3 linked regions of the Stegostoma tigrinum genome follow. The protein of the gene in region 1 purifies or fractionates together with the protein of each later gene. This does not show direct contact. Links are inferred from orthologs where the notes say so. Each region holds a gene or a part of one and is shown in the gene's direction. Other genes may lie near its edges. The genes, in order: etaa1a, atr and rpa2.

The links.
Region 2: the proteins of etaa1a (region 1) and atr purify together in Homo sapiens (affinity purification with western blotting; 3 studies listed by BioGRID, with this or other methods). This does not show direct contact. The link is inferred for Stegostoma tigrinum from reciprocal best matches to the Homo sapiens genes ETAA1 and ATR.
Region 3: the proteins of etaa1a (region 1) and rpa2 purify together in Homo sapiens (affinity purification with western blotting; 4 studies listed by BioGRID, with this or other methods). This does not show direct contact. The link is inferred for Stegostoma tigrinum from reciprocal best matches to the Homo sapiens genes ETAA1 and RPA2.

The regions. Positions count from the first base shown.
Region 1 is NC_081362.1:3,833,314-3,843,336, forward strand, and holds the start of etaa1a (ewing's tumor-associated antigen 1), read left to right. Parts: upstream 1-5,596; 5' UTR 5,597-5,647; coding exon 5,648-5,840; intron 5,841-10,023. UniProt on the Homo sapiens protein: Replication stress response protein that accumulates at DNA damage sites and promotes replication fork progression and integrity.
Region 2 is NC_081367.1:73,393,158-73,403,640, forward strand, and holds the start of atr (serine/threonine-protein kinase ATR), read left to right. Parts: upstream 1-5,535; 5' UTR 5,536-5,635; coding exon 5,636-5,694; intron 5,695-10,483. UniProt on the Homo sapiens protein: Serine/threonine protein kinase which activates checkpoint signaling upon genotoxic stresses such as ionizing radiation (IR), ultraviolet light (UV), or DNA replication stalling, thereby acting as a DNA damage sensor.
Region 3 is NC_081377.1:37,458,813-37,469,554, forward strand, and holds the start of rpa2 (replication protein A 32 kDa subunit), read left to right. Parts: upstream 1-6,186; 5' UTR 6,187-6,661; intron 6,662-10,742. UniProt on the Homo sapiens protein: As part of the heterotrimeric replication protein A complex (RPA/RP-A), binds and stabilizes single-stranded DNA intermediates that form during DNA replication or upon DNA stress.

The DNA.
Region 1 (10,023 bases):
TAAGCCAATTCTTTTCTTTTTATTTTGTCTGTATTTTGATAATAATGTGTGAGTAACGTGTGTTTTGTTTTAAGTCCGATGTTGAATTGAACTGCATTGGAAACATAACACCTTACGCTTGCCTTTAAAATATGAAAGAGTTTGGGTTTGAGGAAGGGTCACTGGACCCAAAATGTTAACTCTGATTTTTTTCTCCACAAATGCTGCTGGACCTGCTGAGCTTTTCCAGCAATTTCTGCTTTTGTTATTAATTTGAACAGTGCTGGGATCAGTGTTCTGTTGAATTTTATAACTAAGGTAGTAGAGAGGGCTTTAGCCAAATAATAGTGGAGAGGTTGGGTAAGGTGGGCAGGGAATTGTGAGAGAAGATGTTGTAAATCAAACGGAAAAAATGGGATATTGGAGCAGGGTAGTTATTTGGGTAAGGACAGTAAAGTAAGTATACCTTAGGACCCGAAGGCTGCTCTCTCATTGGCGAGAGAAAGAAATAACCAGTGGTGAGTTTAGCCTGATCATCACCATGCTTCGGGCGAGGGATGAAGTTAAGAAGGTTGGATCTTCGTGGTAACCTCAGTAGATGCAGGAATTGAGCCACATTGTTGGCATCACCCTGTGGCACAAACTAGCCATCCAGCCAACTGAACTCTGGGTGACGATAACCACAGCTGAATAGGCAATGCACTCTTTGAGTCCAGTACAGTGCTGAAGGAATAAAACTGCAGATGCTGGAAATCTAAAACCAAAACAGAGTGCTGGAAAAATTCAGTGAGTCTGGCACATCTGTGGAGCATGAAACAGAGTTAATATTTCGAGCCCAGTGCAAGTTGTGAAGAAGACGGACAGAAAAGATGCTGTACACTATTTCTGAAAAGTGTGAGTTGTTCCTGGTAACCTGGTTCATATTTATCCCTTAACCCCCAAAAACAAACAATCTAACCAGCATCACTTTGCTGTCTGGAGGGAGTTTGTGCACAAATTAATTGCTGTGCTTCCTACAAAGACAGCAGAGGCTACACTGCACACAATTTGAAACATCCTGAGCTGGTAAAAGGTGCTATAAAAATGCAGAGATTTAAAAATGCAGATGCTGGAGAATCTGAGATAACAAGATGTAGAGCTGGATGAACATACAGACCAAGCAGCATCAGAGGATCAGGAAAGCTGATGTTTCGGGTCTGGACCCTTCTTCAGAAAGCCAGCTTTCCTGCTCCTCTGATGCTTCTTTGCCTGATGCGTTCCTTCAGCTCCACACCGTGTTATCTCTATAAAAATGCAAAATTGTTTTACCAGCTGCATACATGCAGGTCATTTCGAACAAAAGCAAATAAGAAATACGCAGATTCATTATTTAGAAAAATAGTTAGGTTTATATCTGTTAAAGATTGGTTTGAAGACAATGCTTTCCTGCTACAGTGGTGATAAATATATCATCTGTGCAATAAATAGTATTGATTTTAGAGGTGAATTATATCCTGGAATGTTATTCCCTCGGGGTCTGAGAAATTTCAAACTATATCTAAGCGGGGAGAATATTGTACTTGCTTTATTCAGGAACCTAATTTGATAAATTAAGTAATCACATCCTGTTCCACCCAAGTTTGCTCTGCAAAATTGTTTAAATGTAGTGTAACATTTGGGTGGCATACTATTTAGACAGGGACTAGCTGCTGTTAAATGTTAAGATTTATTACAATGGCAACAAAGGAGATATAATGAATTTAAAATCCATGATACTGGATGCAGCTGGATTTTTTTAAGGTAACAACCAGTGGACTGTGCCAGAAAATAATTTGCAATCCTGCTTTAAATACACAAACACGGATTGAAACCAGAGCAATTCCAAATCTCTGGGAACTACATTTATTTAAGAGAATTTAATTTGTTGAAATTTGAGTTGTCAACGTTATCAAAAGGACTGGCTTGAGGCTTTCTCTTGCTGGGGGATATCATTTGGACTTAAAGGCAGAATGGACATTAACAGTGAGACTGTCCCAGATTGTGTGTGAAATTGAAATCCGAAGAAGATTTCTGCACTGCTTAAACCTTTGGCCAGGCTGACTGATGCTGCTTTGCACTTCTGGCAGTGTTATCCCAAAACAGCGTCCGTAGAAATATGGAACATACAGTCACTCAAAGATCTCCATGGCACCACTAAAGCAGCAGAGAGAAGAATGGACACACCTCCCCTTTCTTTTAATGGCATTAACTGCTGTTAGCTAAGGTTACACGTCTTTTCTTATTTACTCCCAAACTGTGGATGTTGCTGGCTGGGCCAGTATTTATTGCTTATCCCTAGGTGCCCATAAGAAGGTGGGGGTGAGTGGCCTTCTTGAACCGCTGCAGTCCATGTGCTGTAGATTGACCCTCATTGCCCTTAGGGAGGGAATTCCAGGGTTTCAATCCAGTGGCAGTAAAGGAATGGCGATAAATTTCAATCCAGGATAGTGAGTGGTTTGGAGGGGAGCTTGCAGGGGGTAGTGTTCCCATGTTTCTGCTGCCCTTATCCTTCTGGATGGAAGTGGTCGTGGGTTTGGAAGGTGCTATGTGAGGATCTTTGGTGAGTTTCTGCAGTGCATCTTATAGATGGTACACACTGCTGCTACTCAGCACTGGTGGTGGAGGGAGTGGATGCTTGTGGATGTGGTGCCAATCATCTGGGCTTTGTCCTGGATGGTGTCAAGCTTCTTGAGTGCTGTTGGGGCTGCACCCATCCAGGCAAGTGGGGAGTATTCCATCACACTCCTGACTTGTGCTTTGTAGATGGTGGGCAGGCTTTGGGGAGTCAGGAGGGGAGTTACTCATGGAGTCATTGAGTAATACAGCATGCAAACAGGCCCATTTGACCATAGCACCAACTCAGCTAGTTCCAACAGCCTGCATTCAGTCCACATCTCTTTATACCCTTCCCATCCAAGTACCTTTCCAAATGTTGTCAAATGTTGCTGTTGTACCTGCCTCAACCACTTTCTTTGGCAGACTATTCCAGATACGCACAATTCTCTGCATGAAGAAGCTGCCCCTCAGGTCCTTCTTAAATCTTTCCCCTCTCACCTTAAACCTATGCTCTCTAGTTTTCAATTCCCCATCCCTGGGAGGAAGGCTACATGCATTCAGCTTATCTACGCCCCTAATGATTTTATACACCCCAATAAGGTCACCCCTCATTCTCCTATGTTCCCAGGAATAAAGTGCTGTCCTGGGCCAACATCTCCCTTTAAATCAGGCCTACTAGCCCTGGCAACATCCTCGTAAATCTTCTTTGTACACTTTCCAGTTTAACTATGTCTTTCCTCTAACAGTGTGACCAAAACTGTACACAATACTCCAAGTGCAGCCTCACCAACAACTTATACAACTGCAACATAACATTCCAACTCCTATACTCAGTGCCTCGACTGATGAAGGCCAGCATGCTAAATGCTTCTTCAACTCCCTGTCTACCTGTGATGTTGCTTTCAACTATGTACTTGTACTCCTAGGTCCCTCTGTCCCACAACAGTCTCGAGGACCTTACCAGTTACTATTTAAGTCCTACCTCTATGAGGACCTCTAAGTCCTACCTGTGAGGTAAAACATCCCATACTTATCTGTATTGAATTATATTTGCTAATCCTCAGCGCACTTTGCCACCTAGTCATAGAATTCCTACAGTGCATGCAAAGGCCATTCAGCCCATCGAGACCACATTGCCCTCTGAAGAGTATCCCACCTGGATCCACCCCTTATCCAATCCCTGCATTTCCCACCTAAACATTACGGACAATTTAACACAGCCAATCCACCTAACCTGCACATCTTTGGACTGTGAGAGGAAACCCATGTGGAAAACGTGCAAACTCCACACCACAGTCGCCCGAGGCTGGAATTGAACCCAGGTCCCTGGGGCTGTGAGACAGCAGTGCTAACCGCTGAGCCACCGTGCCGTCCTGATCAAGGCCCCTCTATAATTTTTGATAACCCTCCTCACTATCAACAAAACCTATCACTGCAAGATTCCTAGCCTGTGATTCGCTCTTGTATGTGGATAAATCAGTGAAGTTTCTGGTCAGTAGGAACCCCTCGGATGTCGATAGTGACGGATTCAGTGATGGTAATACTATTGAATGTCAAGAAGTGGTGGTTAGTTTGTCTCTTATTAGACATATCGTCACCTGGCGTTTGCGTGGTGCGAAGGTCCACTGTGAATGTTAGTGATTGTATGAATGAGTAAGATAGACATGATGGCAAGTGAATGTGGGTAGGTAAGTTAGGGGTAATCAGATCAGGGGCTACTCAGGTCTGCTCTGGGCATTCGCACTGTTGGGAGGGCAAGTCCAGGCCTTGGGGGGAGTTATAGGGAGAGGCAGTTTGAGTGATTGGTGGAGTTACCCAATGCACCTCCATACACCCTAGGCCCTTTAGATATCTCCTGAGCACAATTGCCACTGACAATCCATGTCACACACCACTGCTTGCAACAACCCCGCACATCATGTCCCCAGCACAACACCAGCCCACCCACCCCACTCCTCCCTCACTCCAACACACCCCATACCCTGAACACCAAGTACACACCGTTACTGTTGTCACAGCATGTGTTCCCCCAACTTACCATCAACACTATCCACAGCCCCTCACCATCTCAATATCACTCCACAGATGAGGGCATTGCAATGTCCTGATGGTGCTGAAAGATGCTATACAAATGGTGATAAAAGATGTTCTGTGCATGCAACAAGAGGTGATGAAAGCTGATGCATAAATGACAAAATGAGTAATGACCAATGACAAAAGATGTTATACCTCTGTAACAAATGGTGATAAAAGATGCTGCATGAAAACAAGTGCTGATAGAAGATGCCATATGAATATAACAACTGTGATCAAAGATGCCATATAAATGCTTGAACTAGTGATTAAAGAGGCTATATGAATGCAATGTGTGGCGATAGAAGATGCTATATAAGTCTAACAAGTGGTAATGAATGAGGCTATATGAATGCACTTGGTGATAGAAGATGGTAGATAAATGCAACAAGTGGTGATTAAGCAGAGATAATGGGAACTGCAGATGCTGGAGAATTCCAAGATAATAAAATGTGAGGCTGGATGAACACAGCAGGCCAAGCAGCATCTCAGGAGCACAAAAGCTGACGTTTCGGGCCTAGACCCTTCATCAGAGAGGGTCTAGGCCCGAAACGTCAGCTTTTGTGCTCCTGAGATGCTGCTTGGCCTGCTGTGTTCATCCAGCCTCACATTTTATTATCTTGGTGATGAAGCAGGTTGTGTGAATGCAATGGGTGGCTACAGATGATGCTATATAAATGCTAGATTTTTTCGCACTTAAACCGAAATTGCTGGAAAAACTCGGCAGGTCTAGCAGCATCTGTAGAGAAAGGAAGCAGAGCGCACATTTCGGGTTCACAGACCATCCTGCAGAACGTGGCCCTCGCCTCCTGTCGCAAGGTCCCTTCCAACTTTGATGGACGGTTACTAGGGGGCGGGGACAGGCCCTAGCAACGGCGCAACCAATAGAAAGCGAGTATGACGTCGTCCTGAGCCAATGGATGAAGGGGTGCGGCCCTTAAAGGGGTGGGGCGGTGTCGACGGGTTTTTATTTTCATCCCAAGGCAGCGGCGAGATGGCGGCGGCCGAGGCCGAGTGAAGGATGAAGAAGAAGGGGGAGGAGGACGAGGCGACGAGCAGCGGCAGCACCAACGCCAGGCCGAGGCGGACACGGCTGCATCCCAGCCCGGGGCCTTCTGGCGAGCGAGGAGCCGGCCCTGGCTTGACCCCCCCGGCGCGGACCGGCAGGCTGAGCCGAGGCTCTAGGTCCGCCGCTAGGCCCCGGGCGCCTGAAGGTGAACACTGGCCCCGGCGTCCCTTACTGTCTCATCCCCCCTGGCCACTCACTCACTCACTCACTAACTAACTACCTACCTCCCTCCCTCCTCATTGCAGAGAAACTCAGGGCCATCCCCCCCCAAAAAAACTGCCTGCTACAGCCACAAAATAAACCCCAGAAACTGAGAACAGAAGAACTGTATTGGCAATAATAAAAACTAAGCACCAAAACTGGAACTTTCCAAAAACAAAATTGGGAACATTAAGATGATGGGGGGGGGGGAAAGTTGAGCGTAAGTCTAGGTCTAAAAAGAATGCTGGGAGCACAGATGTTGTCAAAACAAAACTACAACAACCAAATTCAATAAGGGGTGAAAAAGATTTGGAAGCAACAAATACTGCAAACATGCAAAATCGATTAGCAATAGTAATGAGAATTAAAAACAAACTATATTGGCCGGAAAACAAAACAGCATCCAAAGCTGGGAGTAACCAAAAAAAAAGGATCTAGGAACTGGGATTATGAATTTGAGTGAAAGTGTAAAGATAAAACTTGGTTAGCAAAGAAAGTGCTGAGCATTGGGAATAGAGAATAACAAAATAGGAGCAAAAAGCAGTAATGTAAGAAACATTGTCATCAGTAAACCTCTGGGTTCAAAACTGAAGATCCCTTGGAGCAAAGACAGGCTAGATTAAAAAAAGGCATTAAAACCCATTTAAACAGCCGAAAACAAAAATAAGATGAGCAAAACAAAACTGGTAGTAAAAAGAATAGGTGAAAATGGATTAGGGGGAGATTAACGAGCTTGGAGGGGGAAAAAAAAGAGAATCAACTGCAAAGGAAACTGGCAAAATTTAAATTAAAAATGTCAGTCAAAAACCAAGGAGCAAAAGAGAACTCAGGAAGTCAAAAGCTCAAAGTCAAAATACTGCTTTGGCAGCAAGAATATAAGTAGAAAAACCCAGGGTAGCAATAATTGTATGGGCACGATGTACATGTATATCTATTTGGACATATCATTATTTAAGATAACGTTTCTTCCGTCCACGAGTGGGACTAATTGAAAACTGCTGCGCAGACAGTTTTGCACCAAGGCCCATTCACCCATTGCCCTTGTACTGTCTGGCCTGCATTGTTCTTTTGGTTTAAAACATCTCCTCGATTTCCAATCTGTCCATGATCCGGATCTTTTCTCTGTCTTACCTCTACTAGACCCACAACTCCCTGAGACATCTATACTCTCCAGCGTATTTTTCCAGTGCTGGCCTCTTCAGCTTCCTCAATTTTAATTGCTCCACCATTAACTGTCATGCCTGGATCCTATGCCAAGGAATTCCCCACCCCCGCAAAGAAACCAGTTATCTCTACTCTTGTAATTCTTGTTTTAAAACCCACCTGTTTGCCTTGGTCACTGTTTTTATGATGATGTCAGAATTTGTATGACAGTGCTTCTCTGAAGTAGCCTGAGGAATGTTAGCACGTTGGAGTACAATATATAAATGCTGCTTACACGGCACCAAAGCCAAAGTAGGGCATTGAAGGGAAGAGAGGTGGCTGTTGGGCAAACTATCATTATTGGACAAAAGTAAGGGAAAATGCAAAGAATAAGAGAGAGGTCCAAGTCTAGATTGAAATCAGGAAACATTACTTCCTGATAAGGGTGGTAGAAGGGTGCGAAACACTCTCCCACAAAAAAAGTAGATGCTGCTTGAATTAATAACTCCTAAATTTTGACATTGCTAGATTTCTGCTAGCCAGGAGTGTTAATGAGATTAGCGGGAGCTAAGACATGATCTCATTGATCACTGCCTGATCAGTCTTGAGGACTGAATGGCCTTTCCGTTCCCATTTGTTACACAATGCACTGTCAAAAGGAAGGATTTTTAGTTTTAAAACTGCGGGAAATGTGGCAAGGCGATTTGGTGTGACATGGACAGAGGCATTGTAACCATTGAGTAGGGGTGCAGTGGGAATTGAAGAGTAATTCCATACAGTGGAAAGGTGAATGTGAACCCCTAAGACCGGAAGTAATCTTCTATAAGAGAGGATGAGCTCATGGAAAGATTTCTAAGCAACTTGTCAGGGTTGACAGTGTGGATTGCAGGATGTTGTGAGGGTAAGGACAGAAGTATGTTATGTTTGAAGTGAAGCTTATGATTGCGATAGAGAAGGCTGGTGAGCAGAGCAACAGAAGTAAAACCTTGGAGATAGTAGGAACTGCCAGTGCTGGAGTCTGAGATAACAAGGTGTGGAGCTGGAGGCATACAGCAGGCCAGGCAGCATCAGGGGAGCAGGAAAGCTGGCGTTTCGGATCTGGACCCTTCTTCAGATATGAAGAAACCTTAGACTGATGAAGGCATGTCATGGACTCAGCTGTGGGTGCCACACACACATGATAGTGATGTTGTTGAGGCAAGTGATGATGCAAAAGTGAGGAAGATTTGCTATATTCATGCTTTGATGATGTGTTGAAGATGTTGAATATGACTTCTTAAATTCATTTGCAAAATAATCACTTAACAGTTTGCAAGATCCTTTGTCACGGTAGTAACTCAATCATCTTGGCATCTGACAAGGGAGAAGCTGTAAGTGATGTATATACATAAGCAGACAATCACAGTAAAAAAAGAAAGGTTCTATCTACTCTGAATACCAGTTTAGGCATATTCATTAAGATTTTATCTAGGCTTTCATTGTACAAACACATGCTGTATGAAATTTGAGACTCATCTGCAGTTAATCCTGTATCTGAATTACCTTCATCAGGGGAGGGAAGAAAAGCATGGCAGTGAATACTGTATAGGCGTACTTTCAGGGTAGTAGTGGTGTTTTTCTCTCGGGGCCAGAAGATTTGGGTTCAAGCCCCGACTGCTCCAGATGACTATAATAACATACCTGAGCAGTTTGATTGAAATACCTATAAACATACTTTTCACTCTTTGACCTATAACCGTTTGCTACACATGTCCAATGTCCCCCCTAAAATCAGTAGATCTCCCTTTTGACTTGGAGTCAGGAACTTCTGAATTCAAGATCCATTCCTAAGGTATAAAATCATGAGGTGTATAGATAAGGTTAATGGTAGATGTCTTTTCCCTAGAATGGGGGATTTCGGACTAGGGAGCATGTTTTTATGGTGAGGAGAGAGATTTTGAAAAGACATGAGAGGGAGTTTTTTTTCACGTGTGGAATGAACTTTCTGACAAAGTGTTGAATATGGACACAATTACATTGTTTAAAAGATATTTGGATTAGAACATAAATATGAAAATTTTCCATTCAAACAACCCTTCAAATGAATCCAATGTATAAAATGCCATTGCATTTTAAAGGCTCCTACCCTGAAAATGTTCTGATGCAAAAATGTGTTCCCTTGTTTAAGATGCTGTCAGGAAAGGCTGAATAAACTGAGGCTTTTTTCCTTGGAGCATTAGAGGCTGAGGGGTGATCTTGTAGAGGTTTATAAAATCGTGATTGGCAATGGATGAGGTGAATAGCCAAGGTTTTTTTCCCTGGGGTAGGGGAGTCCAAAACTATAGGGTGTAGGTTTAGGGTGACACAGGAAAGATTTAAAAGGGAACTGAGCAAAAACTTTTTCATGCAGAGCGCAGTGCGTGTATGGAGCAAGCTGCCAGAGGCTGGTACAATTACGACATTTAAAAGGCATCTGGATGGATACATGAATAGTAATGGTTTAGAGGGATATGGAAATTATTAGATAGGGCTAGATCAGTTTAGGATATCTAGTTGGCGCAGATGAATTGGACTGAAGGGTCCTTTTCTGTGCTGAATAACACTGACTATTTTTTTGCTTTTAGTGTTTGTGCAGAATGGTGGTAGAGGTTAGCAATTGGTTTTAATTTTGTGCACAGTTTTTCGAAATCTACAATGAAATGCTAAAGAGCCATATGTCGTTCAGATGGGATTAGCTTTCAATTTCAGGATTTGTAAATTGTGTCGTTCAATCTCGTTTTCAAAGGCAACACAATCCGATGGCACATATATCTCTTTCGCATTTTATTCCCCCATTGAAGTTTAATGCTACTTTCAGGAATGACTCTTTCCTGTGATGCAATTGAATCTGAAATAGCTGATGTTGAACCAGAGACTATAATCCATTCCTAACAATTGGAAGTTATTTTCTCACTTTGGTAATTCAAGTGATGAAGATATTTAGGATTGTCATTTGGGCTTGTGTG
Region 2 (10,483 bases), on another chromosome or scaffold:
ACTAGGTGGATCAACTATGCTAAATTGCCCGTAGTGTTCAGGGCTGTGTGGGTTACAGGGGGATGGGTCTGGGTGGGATGCTTCAAGGGGTGGTGTGGACTTGTTGGGCCAAAGGGCCTGTTTCCACGCTGTAGGTAGTCTAATCTCTGACCTGCTGTTATGGCCACTTATATGACAAATCCAATTCATTTTCTGGCCATGCTAGTGATCCAAAATAAAAACAGAAAGCGGTGCAAAAACACATCAGCTGGCTAACTAGTTATCGCTGCTGCATCACAGCACCAGGGATCCAGGTTCAATTCCACCCTCAGGTGCCTGTCTGCATGGAGTTTGCACATTCTCCCCATGTCTGCATGGGTTTCCTCTGAATCCTGTTTCCTCCCACAGCTCAAAGATGTGCAGGTTAGGGTGGATTGACCATGCTAAATTGTCCATAGTGTCCAGGGATTTGCAGATTGAGTGGGTTAGCCATGGGAATACAGGGATATAGTTGTAGGTGCTGGTGTGTTTGCTGAGCTGGGAGGTGTGATAGCAAATGCTTCGTCCCCTTACTAGGTGACATCCTCAGTGCTGTGGAGACTCCTGTGAGGCCCTGTTGTCTTGTGCCATTTGGGATTTACATGGTCTGGTTTTTGCTGCTTCCAGTAGGTGCTGGTTCCGGCTGTGCGTGTAATGGTCAGTGTACCAAGTCTAATTCAATGTGTTTGTTGATGGAGTCTGCAGACGAATGCCTAGCCTCCACGACTTCCCTGGCTGTCCTCTGTTTGACTTGTCCAATGTGAGAAGTGTTGTCCCAGTTGAAAGTGTGGTTTCTCTAATCTGTATGCATTGAAACCAAGGATATCTGGTCATGTTGTTTAGTTGCTAGCTGGTGTTTGTGGATGTGCGTCGCTAGTTGTCTGCCTGTTTGTCCCATGTAGTGTTTTGTGCAGTCTCCGCATGGCATCTTGTAAACCACATCCGTTATGTCCATGGTATCTATTGGGTCTTTCACTCTGGTCAATTGCTATCTTAGTGTGGCTGCCGGTTTGTGTGCTGTCATGGTTCCTAGTGGTCTGAGTAGTCTGGCTGTCTGTTCTGAGGTGTTTTTTTATACATGGTATGGTATTGTGGTTATTGTTTTGGGTTTTGTGTCCCCTGATTGTGTGTTGGCTAGGCATCTGTGGATGAAGCTGTGGAGGTATCCATTCCTGGTGAAGACCTTGTAGAGGTGTTCTTCTTCTTCCTTCTGCAGATTGGGTGTGCTGCAGTGCGTAGCAGCCCTTTTCAACAGGGTCCTAATGCAGCTCCTCTTGTGTGAGTGGGGGTGGTTGCCGTGATAGTGAAAGACTTTGTCAGTATGTGTAGATTTCCTGTACACTTTTGTAGTAATATCACCATTCTGTTTTCTTTCCACCACCGCATCCAGAACCAGAATCAGCAAAAGCCGGACCATATAAACTTGAACTGGCACAAGACAACAGCGCCTCACGGGAGACTCCACAGCACTTAGGATGTCACCTAGTAAGGGGGACGAAACGTCTGCTATCAAACCTTCCAGCTTGGTGAACACGCCAACATCTACAACCAGCACCCCAGCTACAAATCTTCACTCAAACCCTAAATACCTATAGGCATGAAACGCTAAACCAAACAAGGAAGTAGGAATCCTGTGTGAACCGAACAAGCACCACATATCAACAACTCACATTCCTACACGAGTGCCACAACAAACAACTACAACATCCGTACTTAAGGTACAGACAACCAGTAAATAATCCAAGATAACAAAGTGTGGAGCTGGATGAACACAGCAGGCCAAGCAGCATCTCAGGAGCACAAAAGGTGACGTTTCGGGCCTAGACCCTTCAAGCCCACCGACTCCCACAGCTACCTAGAATACACCTCCTCCCACCCAACCCCCTGCAAAAATTCCATCCCCTATTCCCAATTCCTTTTCCTCCGCCGCATCTGCTCCCAGGATGAGGCATTCCACTCCCAAGAAAAGCTCTCTGATGAAGGGTCTAGGCCCGAAACGTCAGCTTTTGTGCTCCTGAGATGCTGCTTGGCCTGCTGTGTTCATCCAGCCTCACACTTTGTTATCCTGGATTCTCCAGCATCTGCAGTTCCCATGATCTCAGTAAATAACCCACATGCCAGAGAAACAGCCAGACAGAATGGCTGCAGGATGATACAAGTCATGATCATAGATGCCTGTTACTGACCCCACAAGTACAAACAAGAAATCATGCGCCAAGAGTCGATAATTTCAAAAGCGACCAATCAGGCATGGACTACGAGAATCAAATGGGCCATCACAATAACACAGAACTGAACCCCACACACAGAAACGAAAACAGCACTACAGAAAAAAATGACTAAATTGACCAATGACAGAGGACACACATGACTGACAAATGGATAAGGTACCTCTCCAACAGACTGCTCACAGATACAGAAAAAAAACTAGTACTAATCAAAAGACTGAACTGCAACTGCTGAAAAAAAGACTTCCTGGCAGCACTAGAGTCCACACTCAAAAACAACGGACTAAACAAAGAAACACAACAATGATCAGACAGAGATAATGGGAACTGCAGATGCTGGAGAATGCCTCTCCACCTATCTTCTTTTCTCTCCATCTTCGGTCCGCCTCCCCCTCTCTCCCTATTTATTCCAGAACCCTCACCCCATCCCCCTCTCTGATGAAGGGTCTAGGCCCGAAACGTCAGCTTTTGTGCTCCTGAGATGCTGCTTGGCCTGCTGTGTTCATCCAGCCTCACATTTTATTATCAATGATCAGGCAGAACCTACCGACAAGGGGAACACAAATGAACATACTTAACAAAGAGGAAAGGGGTGCCCTGAAGAACCTCAAAAAAGGACAAAAACATCATCGTTCCCGATGATAAAGGCAGAATGACTATGGCAATGAACAAAACTGACTACATACAAAAAGTTGTAGAACTACTTACAGATACACAAAACTACCAACAGAGGGAGTGGGACCCCACAACTAACAAACGGAATAGCCAATACACTACAGAACAAACACAAAACGGGACAGATAACAAATATAGAATTACAAGGAATGAAACCTGAAGGCAACAACAATCCAAGATTCTACGGACTGGCCAACTTCCACAAGCCTGACATAGCCCTCAGACCAATTGTGGCTTTACCAGGAACCCCATCACACAAATTAGCCAAGGAACTACAATAAAAGCTTAAACATCTAATCAGTAGTTCAAGACACTTCGTACAACCAACACAAGAATTCCTGGACAACATCAAGAACACTAAAATAGACAAAGAAGTGATGATCTCGCTTGATATAACAGCAGTGTTTATATCAATTGACAAAAACCTGGCCAAAGAAGCCATATCCAACCCACTAAACAAACACAGGAGATGGCAAAACAAGGAACAGATCAACAAACACTGTGTACTCAAACTACTGGACTTATCCTTAGCAACACACTTTACTTTCGAAGGCAAGAGATATGAGCAGATCAACAGGATTCCCATGGGCTCATCCATCTCTGGACTGATACCGGAGGTAGTCACGGAAAGACTGGAACAACCATCCACCCACAGATCCAACCCAAGCTTTGCATCAGACACACGGATGACACTTGTAACTATGAAAAGATCAGAAATTGAAAACACCCACTGACTCAACAACACCATACTCAGACGGATCAAATTTACTAGAGAAGAGGAAAACAACAACTGGTGGGCCTGTGGAATTCATTGCCACGGAGCATAGTGGAGGCCAGGACGTTAGATGCCTTCAAGGCAGAGATCGATAAGTTCTTGATCTCACAAGGAATCAAGGGCTACAGGGAGAGTTCAGGGAAGTGGAGTTGAAATGCCCATCAGCCATGATTAAATGGCAGAGTGGACTTGATGGGCCGAATGGCCTTACTTTCACTCCTATGTCTTATGGTCTTAACAACAAACTCCCATTCCTGGATGTGATGGTGCAAAGAAAAGTGAACGGTGACTTCACTACAAAAGTGCACAGGAAATTCACAGAGACTGACCAGGTCTTAAACTATTATGGCAACGACACAACTCACACAAACATTAACTCTGATTTCTTTTCTTCACAGATGCTACCTGACCTGCTGAGCTTTTCCAGCAATTTCTGTTTTTTGTCACACAACAGGAGCTGCATGAGGACCTGGTCCAAAAGGGCCACAACACACTGCAGCACACCCAATCTGCAGAAGGAAGAAGAATACCTCTATAAAGTCTTTAACAGGAATGGATACCTCCGCAGCTTCCTCCACAGATCCCTAGCCAATTGGCAACAAAACCCAAAACAATAACCACTATACCATAAATAAAGAACACCTTAGAATTGATAGCCAGACTACTCAGACTGCTAGGAATCATGCCAGCACACAAACTGGCAGCCACATTAAGATAGCAACTGACCAGAGTGAAAGACTGCCATGTGGAGCGCCTGCATAAAACACTACATGGGACAAACAGGCTAGTAATCTGCATCCACAAACAACAGCTAGCAAATAAATAACTCGACCAGATGTCCCTGGTTTTCAATACACACAGACGAGAAAAACCACACTCTCAACTGGGACAATACCACTGTCATAGGTCAACCAGAGGCCAGCCAGCGAATTCTTGGAGGCTAGGCATTCGTTTGTGGATGCCATCAGCAAAGACATTGAATTAGACCCGGTGTGCCGACCATTACAACGCACAACCGGCACCGGTAGCTACTGGAAGCAGCAATTCGAAATGGCTCAAGACAACAGCACCTCACGCGAGGCTCCATCGCACTGAGGACGTCACCCAGTAAGTGGGCCAAACGTCTGCTATCAAACCTCCCAGCTCGGGCGAACACACCAACATCTACAACCAAGGCCCCAGCCACAGATCTTCAGTCAAACCCTGAACAGGGAGCTGGTACAGAGAGGTGGGTCTAAGGCCCACAATGGACTCAATGGGCCGAGTAGCCTGCTTCCGCATCCGTCGAATTTTGACCATAACCGATCCTCCCGCTCCCGACCGCATTCAAACTTAGCGCATGCGCCGGGGAACACGCAGGTGCGACAGCCCCAAGGCTTGAACCAATCAGATTGCTCCCACCGTGGAGCCAATCCGGGGACGTTAGGCCAAACCAATCAGAGGGCTCCAAGCGACCTGGTTTTGGCGGGGGGGAAAGAGTTGTCACCGACGGGTTGTCGGGACATGGGCGGGGTCGCAGGTGACCGAAACCGCGCCCTTATTTCTGAGTGGACCGTGGCGGCTCCAAGGTGGGGCTGCACTTCCTTCGCCCACCTCGCCCAACGGGGACAGTGGTTTCCCCACCCCCTGGCCCGCGTAGGTGGGCTCTTGGTGCGCCCTGCCCCGTGCCGTGCAACGGGCGTGGTCAGTGAACGCCACGCCCTGTGCTCCGATTGGGCGAGGTCAGCGAACGCCCCGCCTCACGCACGGATAGGGCGCGGTCAGCGATCGCAACGTCCTGCGCATCGATTGGGCGAAGCCTGTGATCGGCTTGCCCCCCCCCCCCTCCCAGTGGGCGGGGCCAGGCCGGTGGCGCGGTTTTGGGACCGCGCTGGGCGAACGTGAATAATTTTAAGGCGAAACCGTCCACTGCCTTCGGGAGGCGGGAGTATTTGTCAGGATGTGTGAACAGGGCCTGGAGATGGCCTCCATCTTGCCGGCTCTGCGGGAGCTGGAGAGGTGAGCTGCTTTCGTGCCTTCGCTCCCCTGTCGTGGAGCAGAGACTAGGCCCCGGCCTCAGGACCTTCCAGAACCGTCTCCTCTGTCCTGGGGACCTCCACTGACAGCTTCCGGATGAACTCTTCAAATCTCTCTCATTCACATGCATAATATTCGATTGATTTATTGTCGAATGTGAAGTGTCTTTTATTTGAAATGCTCTTACACAGTTTAAAATCTCATAAGAAATAGGAAGGCCATTGGGTCCATCGACCCTACCCTAGTTAATACTTTTGTCCATGCTTTAGATTTTACTGCCTGCTACTGGTGAAAAAATATATATTTGATTGATGGTACAGGGATATTGACCCTTGGTCATTTCAATGCAGCATGTTATTTTGTTTCTAAGTCAGATATCACATGACATAGATTATAGTCTGACAGGTTTATTTGAAGCATAAGCTTTTGGAATGTTACACCTTCATCAGATGAAATGAAGGGAAGCACAGCACACAATTTTTAGGCAGTGAGCCCTTATTTCTAATACGAATCAAACATAAATCTGAGAGACAAAATGATGCTGAGCATCAACCTGTTCTGAGATGTTATGATATATCTCTGGCACAGGTGGGACTCGAACCCAAGCCTGCTGGGCCACTGCACTGCAAGAGCCCTTCAAATGTGCTTTATAATTTCACTTGTTTAGATCATGTCTGGCACGACATCATAGCTGGGGCTTCATCACCTAAGTGTCACTTGCGTGTGGGATCATGGCTTGTTGCAGATTGTGTGTGCAAAATCTAGCCTGAGAAGCTCCAATACTGTTGGAAGTATCTTTTAGATGAGAAGTTGAACTGAAACCTTAGGTTTTTTTAAATTGTATGCCAAAATATCCAGTGGGACTCTGTTGAAGGAGACCTTAGGAATTCTCTCTGATGTGTAGTCAGTACATATCCATTGAATAACATCTCCAAAACAAATGATTTAGTGAATTTTTTAACAAGTTCATTCGTGGAATAGAGGCACCACTAGCTAGGCTAACATTTATTGCCGACCTCTAATTGCCAAGATGGGAGTCAACCACGTTACTGTGGATCTGGATTTAGCTTCCTTCCCTAAAGGGCACGGATGAACCAGATGGGTTTTGCACAAATTGACAATGAATTCATGGTCGTTGTAAAATTCTTAATTCCTGATTTTTATAGCTTTCCAGTTCCACCATCTGCCATGGCAGACTTTGAACCTGAATCCCCAGAATGCTACCTAGGTCACTCAGCGATAATACCACTAGGCCATCGCCTCCCCCGAATATCATGCTACAGTGTATGATTTTGTTGCATGAGAATTGGCTGTGGTGTTGACAGCTTTTGAACACGTACTTAATTGGTGGTAAAGTAATGTACTGTTCCAAGGTTGTGGTAAGCAAGTCTTACAGCGTCCAAGAAGTAGGAAGAATGTTGATGTCAGACAAAAAAGACAGAAAAGTTGGAGAAAAATAGGATCTGATAAGGGATCAGAGGCACAAAGCAGTTTGAGGAGCAGTGGAATAGGTGAAATTCACAATGATGTAATTGAGGATTTCAACGACACATTGTTGTGTTAGCTTCCTTCTTAGAGGTGGGAAGATAAGTTGAAAGCCTTGATCAGGATGAAATAAGATGTTTGGGTTAACAACAGGCTGATTTAGCTTCAAGTAGTGGCGAAAGTTGTGATGGTGAAATGAAGATAGCTGAAGTGGTTAGAGAAAATGGTTTTGATGTTCCCAACATTTCGATGGCAGAAATTGCAGTTAATCTCATATTCAATATTTTGTATAGATGCTCTTTCTGTTTCCTGTGTAGTCCTGGCATGCTGCAGTGAGTGGTGGCCCATTTTTAAATAGTGCCCTAACACAGCTTTGTTTGTGGACTTTGGTGTTCTTGCTGTGGACGCTGTGGTTTCTGTATACCAAATCTTTGCTATGAATGGATATCCCTGCAATTTCATCCACAGGTGCCTACTAAATACACAACAAGAGGACACTATGCTCTATCACACTGGCCGCACTGCCCTACATCAAGAAAATAGCAGAACTGACAACAAGACTCCTATGACCACTAGGAATCACAGAAGCACACAAGTCCATAGCCTCACGATGACAAACACTCACAAGGATTGACCCCATACTCACGACATGCAGAACCAGCCTAATTGACAAAATACCACGCAATGACTGCCATAAACATTCCATCAGACAGACTGGAAGGAAGCTAGCCATCAGAATACATGAACATCAGCTAGCATGAAAACGACACAATGAACTTTCCTCAATATCGGGTACACTCGGACAATGAAGGCCATCAATTTAATTGGGACAATGTAACTATAATAGCCCAAGCCAAACATAGATGCGCATGGGAATTCCTAGAGGCATAGTTCTCAACCCAGAATGAAATCAACAAACATGTGGAATTGGACTCTGTGTACAAATCCATAGAGAACAAAACTGGAAATGACACAACTCACGGTAACGGACAGACAGTATAAATTCTGAGCAGAGTAGAACAACATCGCTTCATTAGAGGACTCACTGACGATGCTACCTAACATGGTGACTAAATGTCTGAAAGGAAACAAGCTGCCTCAGCGAGCAAGTCAACAACTTCATCCACAATCTGTGCTACAAATCTTTGCAAAAACCTCAACCAAACATGAAATACTGTGGACTCAGATTTTATTAGGAGAAAGAAATGAAAATAAACTTGAATAAACATTGTTGCACAGTGGTCATGTCCTTACACCTGGACCTGGAGGCTCAGTTCAAATCCCATCTCCTCCAAAGATGTTTAGTAACATCTCTGACAGGTTGATTAGAAAAATAGGTTAGATTAAAAAAAAACTACTTAAACATATAACCAACTTATAGACTTCGAAACACATTTTTGGTTAAAAATATCCATTAATCCCAAAAGAAACCCTCCTTTGTGGGACAATAGAGAATCCTCTTCTATATCACACCAAAAGGTTTAATTTAATTAGTTGTAGATCATTGACCCTGTTTTCAGAATCTGAATGTTCTCTTTGGAGACTTATGGAGACCATTTCAGGAATTTAACTTTACAGTCTGGAACTTTAGTTGAAAAGTCCTTACACTGAGGTTGTCTCTTTTTTAACTGTCCTAAACCACCTCCCTTTCTTTTACATATTCATAATGAACTTTCCCTAATATCAGTATACTCGGATAATGAAGGCCACCGGTTTAACTGGGTCAGTGAAACTACAGTTCTGACGAAGGGTCACTGGACCACAGATGCTGCCAGATTTGCTGAGCTTTTGCAGCAACTTTGTTTTTGTTCCTTATCAACAGCATCCACAGTTCTTTTGGTTTTTACAACGTAACTATAGTAGCCCAAGCCAAACATAGACACTTTACATATTCAGCTTTAGCTAAGACTTTGCCAAACTGCCCAATAAAATCCAGAAACTTTGTTTCACTAACTTGTCGGTATTTCCCCTGAGGCCCCCAAAGAAGTGAACAGATATAATGTACAATGGCCACAGAACAGTGAAGTCATTTATGACTTGGTTTAGATTCATTTTGATGTAACCTAATGGTAATCTGAAAGTAAAGTTTCTGATCTCAAAGCCTAATAAACTACACTGTTCTTTTTTGGTTTCTTGTAAATTTTTCAAATGAAAACAACCTTATTATTTGTCCAGGAAGTCTGTGTCTCAAACTGTGTTTTAAAATTAGTCACTTTGGTTACAGAAATACAGCTAAGTTAATGGTTAAATCCCCTCAGAGAAACACTGAAAACTCATGCCAGTAGTTCAAAATTAAAAAATCCAAAATGAATGATGCACATGCTGGTACTTGAGAGCATTTGCATGAGCAGCAATATATCCCATAAACATACTTAAGTGTCAAGTACCAATTAATGGAAAAGTATGAAAAAACATACTAGGCTTAAGAAAAATAACATGTTCAGCAAAGTAGCATTGGTAATTTTGAAGAAATGACTTAATGTTGCATGACTGGGTGTTTATGCAGCTGGAAATAATTGCTTGTGAGCATGTGCAATCAGCAAGCATCAGGTTATTGATGTCAGCAAATATATTGATTGAAATATATATAAATGATTCACCTTACATCACACAGCACACTGGGAAAACTTTCCCCTTTTTGAGTAGAGCCGTGTATGTTCATCAGAGCAAGGTGCATATATTAGATCGAATGCTTGATCTGAAAGATGGCATGTCAGAAAGCAGAATGTTATTTAACCTTGTAGTCATGTGTGGACCTAGGTTGTGTGTTCAAGTTTCTACAGTTGACCATAAGCTCAATACTCAGAAGTAAAACTGCAACCATCGATGACCAAGTGAGGAGAGTACCACTGAACTGGATGAAAAGACATTGCAACTGGTTGTGTCTAAAGCTGTAGAAAAGTTGAAGAGGAATTGAACAGATATAATGTACAATGACCACAGAACAGAGAAGTCATTTATGACTTGGTTTAGATTCATTTTGATGTAACCTAATGGTAATCTGAAAGTAAAGAAAGGATGATGCTGATTTGGGAAATGTCAGTATGTTCAAGGAGAGAAACGTTGGAGGTGGGCCACTAGTTTATGAGGGCACAGAGAGCGAGGAATATGGGACAGTGATACTGATTTTTGAGAGTGAAAGAAATGGTGACTGACAAAAAGGAACCATTTTAGCAGTGGAATAGGGACCAGGAACGAATGTTGGATGACCATAGATTTACACAAATGGGATCACAGAAGTAGGAAGTGGAAAATATCTGCTCATAATGTTATTGGGAGGTGGCAT
Region 3 (10,742 bases), on another chromosome or scaffold:
TTCAAGTTTTGGAAGGGGTATAGTTTAAATTGCATAGTAGTTGTCTACTAGTCTTTTTTTCCTGCTGCTCTTGTCAAAGTTAGCACTTTTTAACAAATTGTTATTTTGCTGTTACTTACAAAACCTGGTGTGAATTGCTTCCGTCCTGAGTAGCAATCAGTCAGGCAAATTGGTCATTTTGGTGGTCCAAAATGAGCCCAAACTGAGCTTTATCAAGTTTATAGATCAGTTGTGTAAAGTGTTTTGAAGAAAAAGAAATCACTCAATTTAAGGGTTTGCAGTGCAAAAGATCATTTGGCCCAATTTATCTGACAGTGTTTATTGTCCATATGAATCTCTTCCCATTACTCTTCCAAACGTTTTCTTTTCAATCCTGGCCATCTGCATGAGGAATGCAGGTGTATAGGAACTGGAAGTCCATGGTGAAAATGAGGTGTCAGTCACACACTCTCTACTTTTTCCTTAAATGCATCTGTGCTATTTGCCTCAACTTTGATGCCATCTTTCAAACCCATGACTTCAGCCATCTAGAAGGACAAAGGCAGCAGATGATGGAAACATCATCACCTGTACATTTCCCTCCAAGTTACACACTATTCTGACTTGCAACTATATCACCGCTCTTTTGCTGTTACAGAGTCGAAATCGTGGAACTCCCCAACGAACTAGAGCACTGCGGTTGTGTCTGCACGGCATGCATGCAATATTTAAGAAAGTTGCTCTCCACCCCATTCTCTCCTGGCAGTTAGGGGTGAACAATAAATTTTGGCCTTGCCAAATAGTCGCTGTTCCAACACTGACCCACGCTGAAATTCACTAGTCACCTGCTGCCATCCTGAAAAATACCCTATTATCCTTGCTCTTGGTCTTTTGCCAATCAGCCAATCTTCTACTCATGCCAGAATCTTGCCCCTTACACCATGGGCTCGTATCTTAATTAGCAGCCTCCTGTGGCACCTTGTCAAAGGCCTTCTGGAAATCGAAATAGATCACATCCGCTGACTTCGCTTTGTGTAATTTGCATGTTCCCTCTTCAAAGAATTCTAACAGAAATGTCAGGCAGAACCCCCTCTTAATGAAATTATACTGACTCATCTCTATGTTCCTATGCACTTCCGAGTACCTTATTCTTAATAATGGGCTCTAAATCTTACTGATGATTGGAGTCAGATTCAAAAACAAAGTTGCTGGAAAAACTCAGCAGGTCTGGCAGCATCTGTGAAGGAAAAATCAAAATTAATATTTTGGGTCCGGTGATCCTTCCTCAAAACCCTGCTGAGCTTTTCCAGCAGCTTTGTTTTTGTTCCTGATTTACAGCATCCACAGTACTTTCAGTTTTATTTGAAGTCAGACTAATTGGTCTACAATTTCCCATCTTTGGCTTCCTTCCCTTCTTAAACAGACGTGTTACATTAGCCATTTTCCAGTCCACTGGGACCTTCACTGACTTCAGTGATTCCTGAAAGACCACCACAATTTCCTTAGACCTGTCCTTCAGTACCCTGGGGTGTGGACCATCTGGGCAAGGTGTATTATCCACCTTTCAACTTCTTCTGCACCTTCTCCCAATTGATGGCCATTACACTCAACTTGTGATAGAATATTAGTGAATGCAGGGAATCAGAGAAGCTTCAAACTGAAGGAGTTGATTTAACTCAGGAAAGGGAAGCTAGTGTGCCGTACTGAATTTTCCTTACTCTCTCTCTGTATTTATATTGGGAAATTAAATACCAAACTGGAGAGGTCATGCTTTAGTTTCTTTTATTCATTCATGGGATGTGGGCGTCACTGGCTAGGCCAGTAATTTGTTGCCCATCCCTAACTGCCCAGGGGACAGCTAAGTGTCAGCCAACATTGCTGTGGGTCTGGAGTCACATGTAGCCTAGAATAAGAAAAGGATGACAATTTCCATCCCCAAAGGACATTCGGAACCAAACGGGTTTTTCCTGACAATCAACAATGGTTTCGTGGTCCTCGTTCACCTCTTAATTCCACATTTTTACTTGAATTCAAATTCCTCCATCTACTATGTCAGGATTCAAACTGAGGCCCCCAGGACTTTACCAAGATCTCTGGCCTAATAGTCTAGTGATGATACTACTAGGCCATTGCCTACCCTTTTAATACAGGGTATTGGGGAGATTTGTGCTTCTGAGGCTTTATAAAGCTCAAGTTAGGCCCCATTTAGAATACTGTGTCCAATTTTGGGCCCCACACCTCAGGAAGGACATAATGACACTGGAGCATGTCCAGCGGAGATTCACACAGATGATCCCTGGAATGGTAGGTTTAACATACGATGAATGGCTGAGGATCCTGGGATTGTATTCATTACAGTTTAGAAGGTTGAGGGGAGATCTAATAGAAACTTACAAGATAATGTATGGCTTAGAGAGGGTGGATGCTGGCAAGTTGTTTCCATTAGGTGGGGAGACTAGGACCAGTGGGCACAGCCTTATAACTAGAGGGGGTAAATTTAAAATGGAAATGAGGAGACATTTCTTCAGCCAGAGAGTGGTGGGCCTGTGGAATTCATTGCCACGGACCACAGTGGAGGCCAGGACATTAAATATCTTCAAGGCAGAGATTGATAAATTCTTGATCTCACAAGGAATCAAGGGCTACAGGGAGAGTGCGGGTAAGTGGAGTTGAAATGCCCATCAGCCACGATTAAATGGCGGAGTGGACTCGATGGGCCGAATGGCCTTATGGACTGCATGTGTAGTACTGCGTTCAGTATTGATCTCGTTGATTAAGGAAGGATGTAAATTTGTTGCAAATAATTCAGAGAAGATTTAACAGCTGGAATGAGTGAATTTTCTTATGAAGAAAGGTTAGCACGTTCTGATTGTATGTACTGGAGTTTCGAAGACAAAACAAAGACTTGACTGAAACAAAGGCTTGATAGGGTGAGTATGGAAACGATGTTTCCTCTAGTGGGACAATCTAGACTTTGGGGTCACTGCTCAAAAATAAGGCCTGCCTGTTTAAAGCAGAAAAGAAATACTTTCTTAGCGGAGTCTTTGTAATGATCTTTTTAATGGCAGAGCAGCTTCCTCCTGTTCCTAATTCATGTGTGGCATATATATTTGCATGTTAATACATGTTAAGCATGGTGGTGTTCTACAACTGTACAATTCACAGTGTTAAACATCATCTGGGCAGTTGAACCAACTAAGTATGCTCATGATAGTTCACAGGGAGTAAACTAAAATCTGTGATCATACCTTTTTCCTGTTGCATATCATCTCTGAATGGGATGTTATGACAATAGACCAAGAACGACAAATCTGTTTTTCTTATGGCTAACTGTTGGATGAAGCCATGTGTGTAATTTCAATAGTGCCTTCGCTTCTGCGGTCCGAAAGCCGTGGTTTCCAATACCACACCAGATATTTAGTATACAATTTCAAGTGATGGTCTAGTGCAGTACTAGAAGAATGGCACACTTTCACAAGTGTTAACTTTCAGGTGGGATATTAAACTGAGGCTAGACTGCTCTGCTCTGTTAAGCTAATGTTAGAAGAGCTCATGCCACTGTTTTGAAATGAAACTATGCAATTCTTCCTGTGTGACTTGGACAAGAGATCCTCATCAACCATTACTGGTTATCTGGTTGTTTGTGCTACCTTACTCTGTGTAAGACAGCTGCTACATTTCCTACAACAGTGACTACAGTTCAAAAAATACTTAATTGTCTGGAATGCACTTTGGGACATCTGGAAGCCTGAGGAAAGTGCAAATCTTTCCTTAGTTATAATTCCACCAAACAGATACTTTAAAAAAACGATTAGATCAGAAACATTCAGATATACAATAATGGATTTTCATAATGTCCAAAAGGAGATAGAAAGCAAGTTCTCATGAACAGCAAGGTCACATCTCACTCCCTTACCACTAGAATCTTGTGACCAAGTCCACAGACTGAATCATGAACTCACAACATTGATTTGGGGATCAGAGGTAGGTAACTTACATTGTCATGAAATCGAAGAGTCATGCAGCATGGAAACAGGACCTTTGGTCCAACTCATCCACAATGACCAGACATCCCAGTCTGACCTAGCCCTATTTGCCAGCATTTGGTTCATATTCCTTTAAATCCTTCCTACAATTTACTCATCCAAGTGCCTTTTTAATGTTGTAACTGTATCCAACTCCTCCACTTCCTCCAGCAGCTCATTCCATACACACACCATTCTCTGTGTGGAAAAAGTTACCCCTAAGATCCTTTTTAAATCTTTCCCTTCTCACCTCAAACCTCTACTTTTGGACTCCCCACCCTAGGAAATATATTTTGGCTATTCACCCTGTCCATGTCTCTCATGATTTTATAAACCTCCATAAGGTTACCCCTCAGTCTCCGACACTACGGCTAAAAAAAAACCCAGCCTATTCAGCCACTCCCTATCAGTCAAACCTTTCAGTCCTGACAACATCCTTGTAAATCTTTTCTGTGACCTCTAAAGTTTAACAACATCCTTGCTTTAGAAGAACAACCAAAATTGTATGCAATATTCGAAAAGTGGCCTCACCAATGTCCTACATAGCTGCAACATGACATTCCAACTCCTAAACTCAATGTTATGACCAATTAAGGCAAGCATGCCAAACATTTTCTTCACCACCCTGTCTACCTGTGACTCCACTTTCAAGGATCGATGTACAAGTTGTTGGAGGTGATGCTGAGAGACCGGATTTACATGCATTTGGAGAGCAGGAACTAATTAGGGATAGTCAGCATGGCTTTGTGTGTTGGAAATCATATTTCACAAAATTGATTTGAGTTTTTCAGGACATATTCAAAAAGATTAACGAGGGCGGAGAGGTAGATGTTGTCTACGTGGACTTTAACAAAGCCTTTGATAAGGTTCCGCATGGTAGACTGATTAGCAAAGTTAGCTCACATGGGATTCAAGGACACCTTTTTCGGTTGGATACAAAATTGATTTGACAGGGCACAGAGGGTGGTGGTGGAGGGTTGTTTTTCAGACTGGAGGCTCCTCTGACCAGTGGTGTTCTGCAGGGATGAACACTGGGTCCACTGTTATTCGTCATTTACATAAAAGATTCAAAGGAGAATTTAGGATGCAGGGTTCTTAAGTTTGCAGATGACACCAAAATTGGTTGTATAGTCAACAGCGAAGGTTATCTAAGAATACAAAGAGATCTTGATCAATTAGGCCAATGGGCTGCGGAGTAGCAGACGGAGTTTAATTTGGATAAATGCAAGGCAAAGCGAACAAGGGCAGGACTTATACAGTTAATGGTAGGGCCCTGAGTAGTATTGTTGAACAGAGACCTAGGGGTCCAAGTACATAATTCTTTGAAAGCTGTGTCACAGGTAGACAGGGTGGTTAAGAAGGCATTTAGCATGCTTGCCTTCATTGCTCAGACCACTGAATTTATGGGTTGGGACGTAATGTTGAGGCTGTACAGGATGTTGGTGAGGCCTCTTTTGGAGTACCATGTCCAGTTCTGGTCACCCTGCTGTAGGAAGGATATTATTAAATTAGAGAAGGTTCAGAAAAGATTTACCAGAATGTTACGAGAACTGGAAAGTTTGAGTTATAGGAAGAAGGTGGATAGGCTGGGACTATTCACTGCAATGTAGGAGGTTAAGGGGTGACTGTAGCGGTTTATAAAATCATGACAGGCATAGATAAGATTAACAGCAAAGGTCTTTTCCCTCAGGTTGGAGAGGTGGGGGAACGGGAACTGGGATGGTGTCCAAAACCAGTGGGTATATTTTTAAGGTGACAGGAGAACGATTTAAAAGGGATCTAAGAAGCAATATTTTCACACAGAGGGTCATTCATATGAACTGCCAGCAGAAGTGGTAGATGCAGGTAAAATTACAACATTTAAAAGTCATTTGAACAGGTGCATGAATAGGAATGGTTTAGAGGGATGTGGGCCAAAAATCGGCAAATGGGACTAGTTTTTGTTTGGGAGTCTTGGTTGGCATGGACAAGTTGGACCGAAGGATGTGTTCCTGTGCTTTATGGCTCTGAGGGTGCTATGCACATAATTTCAGCTGGAGTATGGAATCATATTGTGATATGAAGGCTATGAATAAGAAACAACATTGTTGTTTTGATCACACTGATGTTATTTCTGAACTAGTCAGATTCCAGACTGAAACATGGATTGATAAATCATTTTTGCTTTTTGAGTGCGAGCAGCAGCGGAGGCAAGACGGACCCGGAAGACTGCAGCTAAGGTAAAGCAGTTTATTTTTAAAATTACTTACCGGTAGCGGGCAGCGGTGTTTTTTTTGCTCTTTCAGAGAAGGAGCGGGAGCATCAGAGGAAGTGACGAGGACCAGAGGGGCAGCCGGGAAGGAAAGCAGTGAGTATAAATACTCACCCTTCGACGCCAACGGCCTTTTTGAGTGCGAGCAGCAGCGGAGGCAAGACGGACCCGGAAGACTGCAGCTAAGGTAAAGCAGTTTATTTTTAAAATTACTTACCGGTAGCGGGCAGCGGTGTTTTTTTTGCTCTTTCAGAGAAGGAGCGGGAGCATCAGAGGAAGTGACGAGGACCAGAGGGGCAGCCGGGAAGGAAAGCAGTGACCATATATCTCAGCAAGGCGGCTTAACCTGAGACTCTACAACTGTAGTGTCTCCCACCCGCCCTCCTCCTCTAACCTAGTTAATAAGGTAAGGTTCATTCTAAACTTTCTCTATTGAACATAAGTTTGTTATTAATTTGTTATTATTACTTGAAGTGAGCTTTCTGCTTTAGTACTGAGTGGGTGTTCAGATAAGTGGGGTATGGATGCTAGGGCAGTTGCTTGCTCCTCCTGCAGAATGTGGCAGTTGGGAGATGTGGCACACGTCTCCGCTGGCTACATCTGTGGGAAGTGCACCCAGCTACAGCTCCTTGAAAACCGTGTTAGGGAAATGGAGCTGGAGCTGGATGAACTACGGATCATTCGGGAGGCAGAGGGGGTAATTGAGAGGAGTTATCGGGAGTTGGTCACTCCTAAGGCTCAGGACGAGGATAGATGGGTTACAGTTAGGGGGAGGAAAGGGGACAGACAGACAGTGCAGAGATCCCCTGTGGGCATTCCCCTCAGCAATAAGTATACCGTTTTGGATACTGCTGGGGGGGTTGACCTACCAGAGGAAAGCCATAGTAGTCAGTTCTCTGGCACTGAGTCTGACACTGTGGCAAAGAAGGGAAGGGGGCAGAATAGAAAAGTACTCGTGGTAGGGGACTCGATAGTTAGGGGAATCGACAGGAGATTTTGTGGGCAAGATCGGGATTCCCGGAAGGTATGTTGCCTCCCTGGTGCCAGGGTCCGGGACGTCTCCGATCGGGTGTATAAAGTTCTGAAAGGGGAGGGTGAACAGCCAGAAATCGTGTTACATATTGGCACAAATGATATAGCCAGAAATAGGTTTGAGGATATAAAAAGTGATTTCAGGGAGTTAGGATGGAAGCTGCAGAGCAGGACGAACAGAGTAGTGTTCTCTGGTTTACTACCGGTGCCACGAGATAGCGAGGTGAGGAACAGGGAGCGGGCGCAGCTGAACACGTGGCTACGCAGCTGGTGTAGGAGGGAGGGTTTCAGATATGTTGATAATTGGGATGCCTTCTGGGGAAGGTGGGACCTGTACAAGAAGGACGGGTTGCATCTGAACTGGAAGGGGACCAATGTCCTGGGTGGAAGGTTTGCTCGAGTAGTTCGAGAGGGTTTAAACTAGTATGGCAGGGGGGGTGGGAACCTGAGCTGTATACCAGAGGTGAGCGTTGATGCAGGTGAGGCAGTAGCAAGAGGTAGACCAGCTAGTGGGAAGGATTTTCCTGGGAAGGAACCAAGGGATCGGTTAAAGTGTGTTTGCTTTAATGCAAGGAGTATCAGGAATAAAAGTGATGAACTTAGAGCATGGATCAGTACCTGGTGCTATGATGTTGTGGCCATAACAGAGACATGGGTTTCTCATGGGCTGGAATGGTTGCTGGATATTCCAGGGTTTAGAACATTTAAAAAGAATAGGGAGGGGGGAAAAAGAGGAGGGGGTGTAGCACTACTAATCAGAGAGGGTATCACAGCTACAGAAGCTTCCATTGTCGAGGAAGATCTGCCTACTGAGTCAGTATGGGTGGAAATTAGGAACAGCAAGGGAGTAGTCACCTCGTTAGGGGTTTACTACAGGCCCCCCAATAGCAGCAGGGAGATTGTAGAAAGCATAGGTTGACAGATTTTGGAAAAGTGTGGACGCAGTAGGGTTGTTGTAATGGGTGACTTTAACTTTCCTAATATTGATTGGAACCTCCTTCGAGCAGAAGATTTGAATGGAGCTGTTTTTGTAAGGTGTGTTCAGGAGGGTTTCCTAACGCAGTACGTTGACAGGCCGACGAGGGGAGAGGCCATTCTAGACTTGGTGCTCGGAAACGAGCCGGGGCAGGTATCAGATCTTGTGGTGGGAGAGCATTTTGGTGATAGTGACCATAACACTCTCTCATTCTACATAGCTATGGAGAAGGAGAGGATTAGGCAGAATGGGAGGATATTTAATTGGGGAAGAGGAAACTATGATGCGATTAGACACGAGTTAGGAAGCATGGACTGGGAGCAGTTGTTCCATGGTAAGGGAACTATAGACATGTGGAGATGGTTTAAGGAACAGTTGTTGGGAGTGATGAGTAAATATGTCCCTCTGAGACAGGCAAGACGGGGTAAGATAAAGGAACCTTGGATGACGAGAGCGGTGGAGCTTCTAGTGAAAAGGAAGAAGGTAGCTTACATAAGGTGGAGGAAGCTAGGGTCAAGTTCAGCTAGAGAGGATTACATGCAGGCAAGGAAGGAGCTCAAAAATGGTCTGAGGAGAGCCAGGAGGGGGCACGAGAAAGGCTTGGCAGAAGGAATCCGGGAAAACACAAAGGCATTTTACACTTACGTGAGGAATAAGAGAATGGTCAAAGAAAGAGTAGGGCCGATCAGGGATAGCATAGGGAACTTGTGTGTGGAGCCTGAGGAGGTAGGGGAAGCCCTAAATGAGTTTTTTGCTTCTGTCTTTACGAAAGAAACGACCTGTGTAGTGAATGAAACCTTTGAAGAGCAGGTGTGCATGCTGGAATGGATAGAGATAGAGGAAGCTGATGTACTGAAAATTTTGTCAAACATTAAGATTGACAAGTCGCCAGGCCCGGATCAGATTTGTCCTCGGCTGCTTTGGGAAGCGAGAAATGCAATTGCTTCGCCACTTGCGAAGATCTTTGCATCCTCGCTCTCCACTGGAGTCGTACCTGAGGACTGGAGAGAGGCAAATGTAATTCCTCTCTTCAAGAAAGGAAATAGGGAAATCCCCGGCAATTATAGACCGGTAAGTCTCACGTCTGTCGTCTGCAAGGTGTTAGAAAGGATTCTGAGGGATAAGATTTATGACCATCTGGAAGAGCATGGCTTGATCAAATACAGTCAACACGGCTTTGTGAGGGGTAGGTCATGCCTTACAAACCTTATCGAGTTTTTTGAGGATGTGACTAGTAAGGTTGATGAGGGTCAAGCTGTGGATGTGGTGTATATGGACTTCAGTAAGGCATTTGACAAGGTTCCCCATGGAAGGCTCATTCAGAAGGCCAGGAGGAATGGGATACAGGGGAACTTAGCTGTCTGGATACAGAATTGGCTGGCCAACAGAAGACAGCGAGTGGTAGTAGAAGGAAAATATTCTGCCTGGAAGTCAGTGGTGAGTGGGGTTCCACAGGGCTCTGTCCTTGGGCCTCTACTGTTTGTAATTTTTATTAATGACTTGGACGAGGGAATTGAAGGATGGGTCAGCAAGTTTGCAGACGACACAAAGGTCGGAGGTGTCGTTGACAGTGTAGAGGGCTGTTGTAGGCTGCAGCGGGACATTGACAGGATGCAGAGATGGGCTGAGAGGTGGCAGATGGAGTTCAACCTGGATAAATGCGAGGTGATGCATTTTGGAAGGTCGAATTTGAAAACTGAGTACAGGATTAAGGATAGGATTCTTGGCAGCGTGGAGGAACAGAGGGATCTTGGTGTGCAGATACATAGATCCCTTAAAATGGCCACCCAAGTGGACAGGGTTGTTAAGAAAGCATATGGTGTTTTGGCTTTCATTAACAGGGGGATTGAGTTTAAGAGTCGTGAGATCTTGTTGCAGCTCTATAAAACTTTGGTTAGACCGCACTTGGAATACTGCGTCCAGTTCTGGGCGCCCTATTATAGGAAAGATGTGGATGCTTTGGAGAGGGTTCAGAGGAGGTTTACCAGGATGCTGCCTGGACTGGAGGGCTTATCTTATGAAGAGAGGTTGACTGAGCTCGGTCTCTTTTCATTGGAGAAAAGGAGGAGGAGAGGGGACCTAATTGAGGTATACAAGATAATGAGAGGCATAGATAGAGTCGATAGCCAGAGACTATTTCCCAGGGCAGAAATGGCTAGCACGAGGGGTCATAGTTTTAAGCTGGTTGGTGGAAAGTATAGAGGGGATGTCAGAGGCAGGTTCTTTACGCAGAGAGTTGTGAGAGCATGGAATGCGTTGCCAGCAGCAGTTGTGGAAGCAAGGTCATTGGGGTCATTTAAGAGACTGCTGGACATGCATATGGTCACAGAAATTTGAGGGTGCATCCATGAGGATCAATGGTCGGCACAACATTGTGGGCTGAAGGGCCTGTTCTGTGCTGTACTGTTCTATGTTCTATTAAAAAGTGAGAGAACTGTGGATGCTGTAAACCAGAAACAAAAACAAGAACAGAAATTGC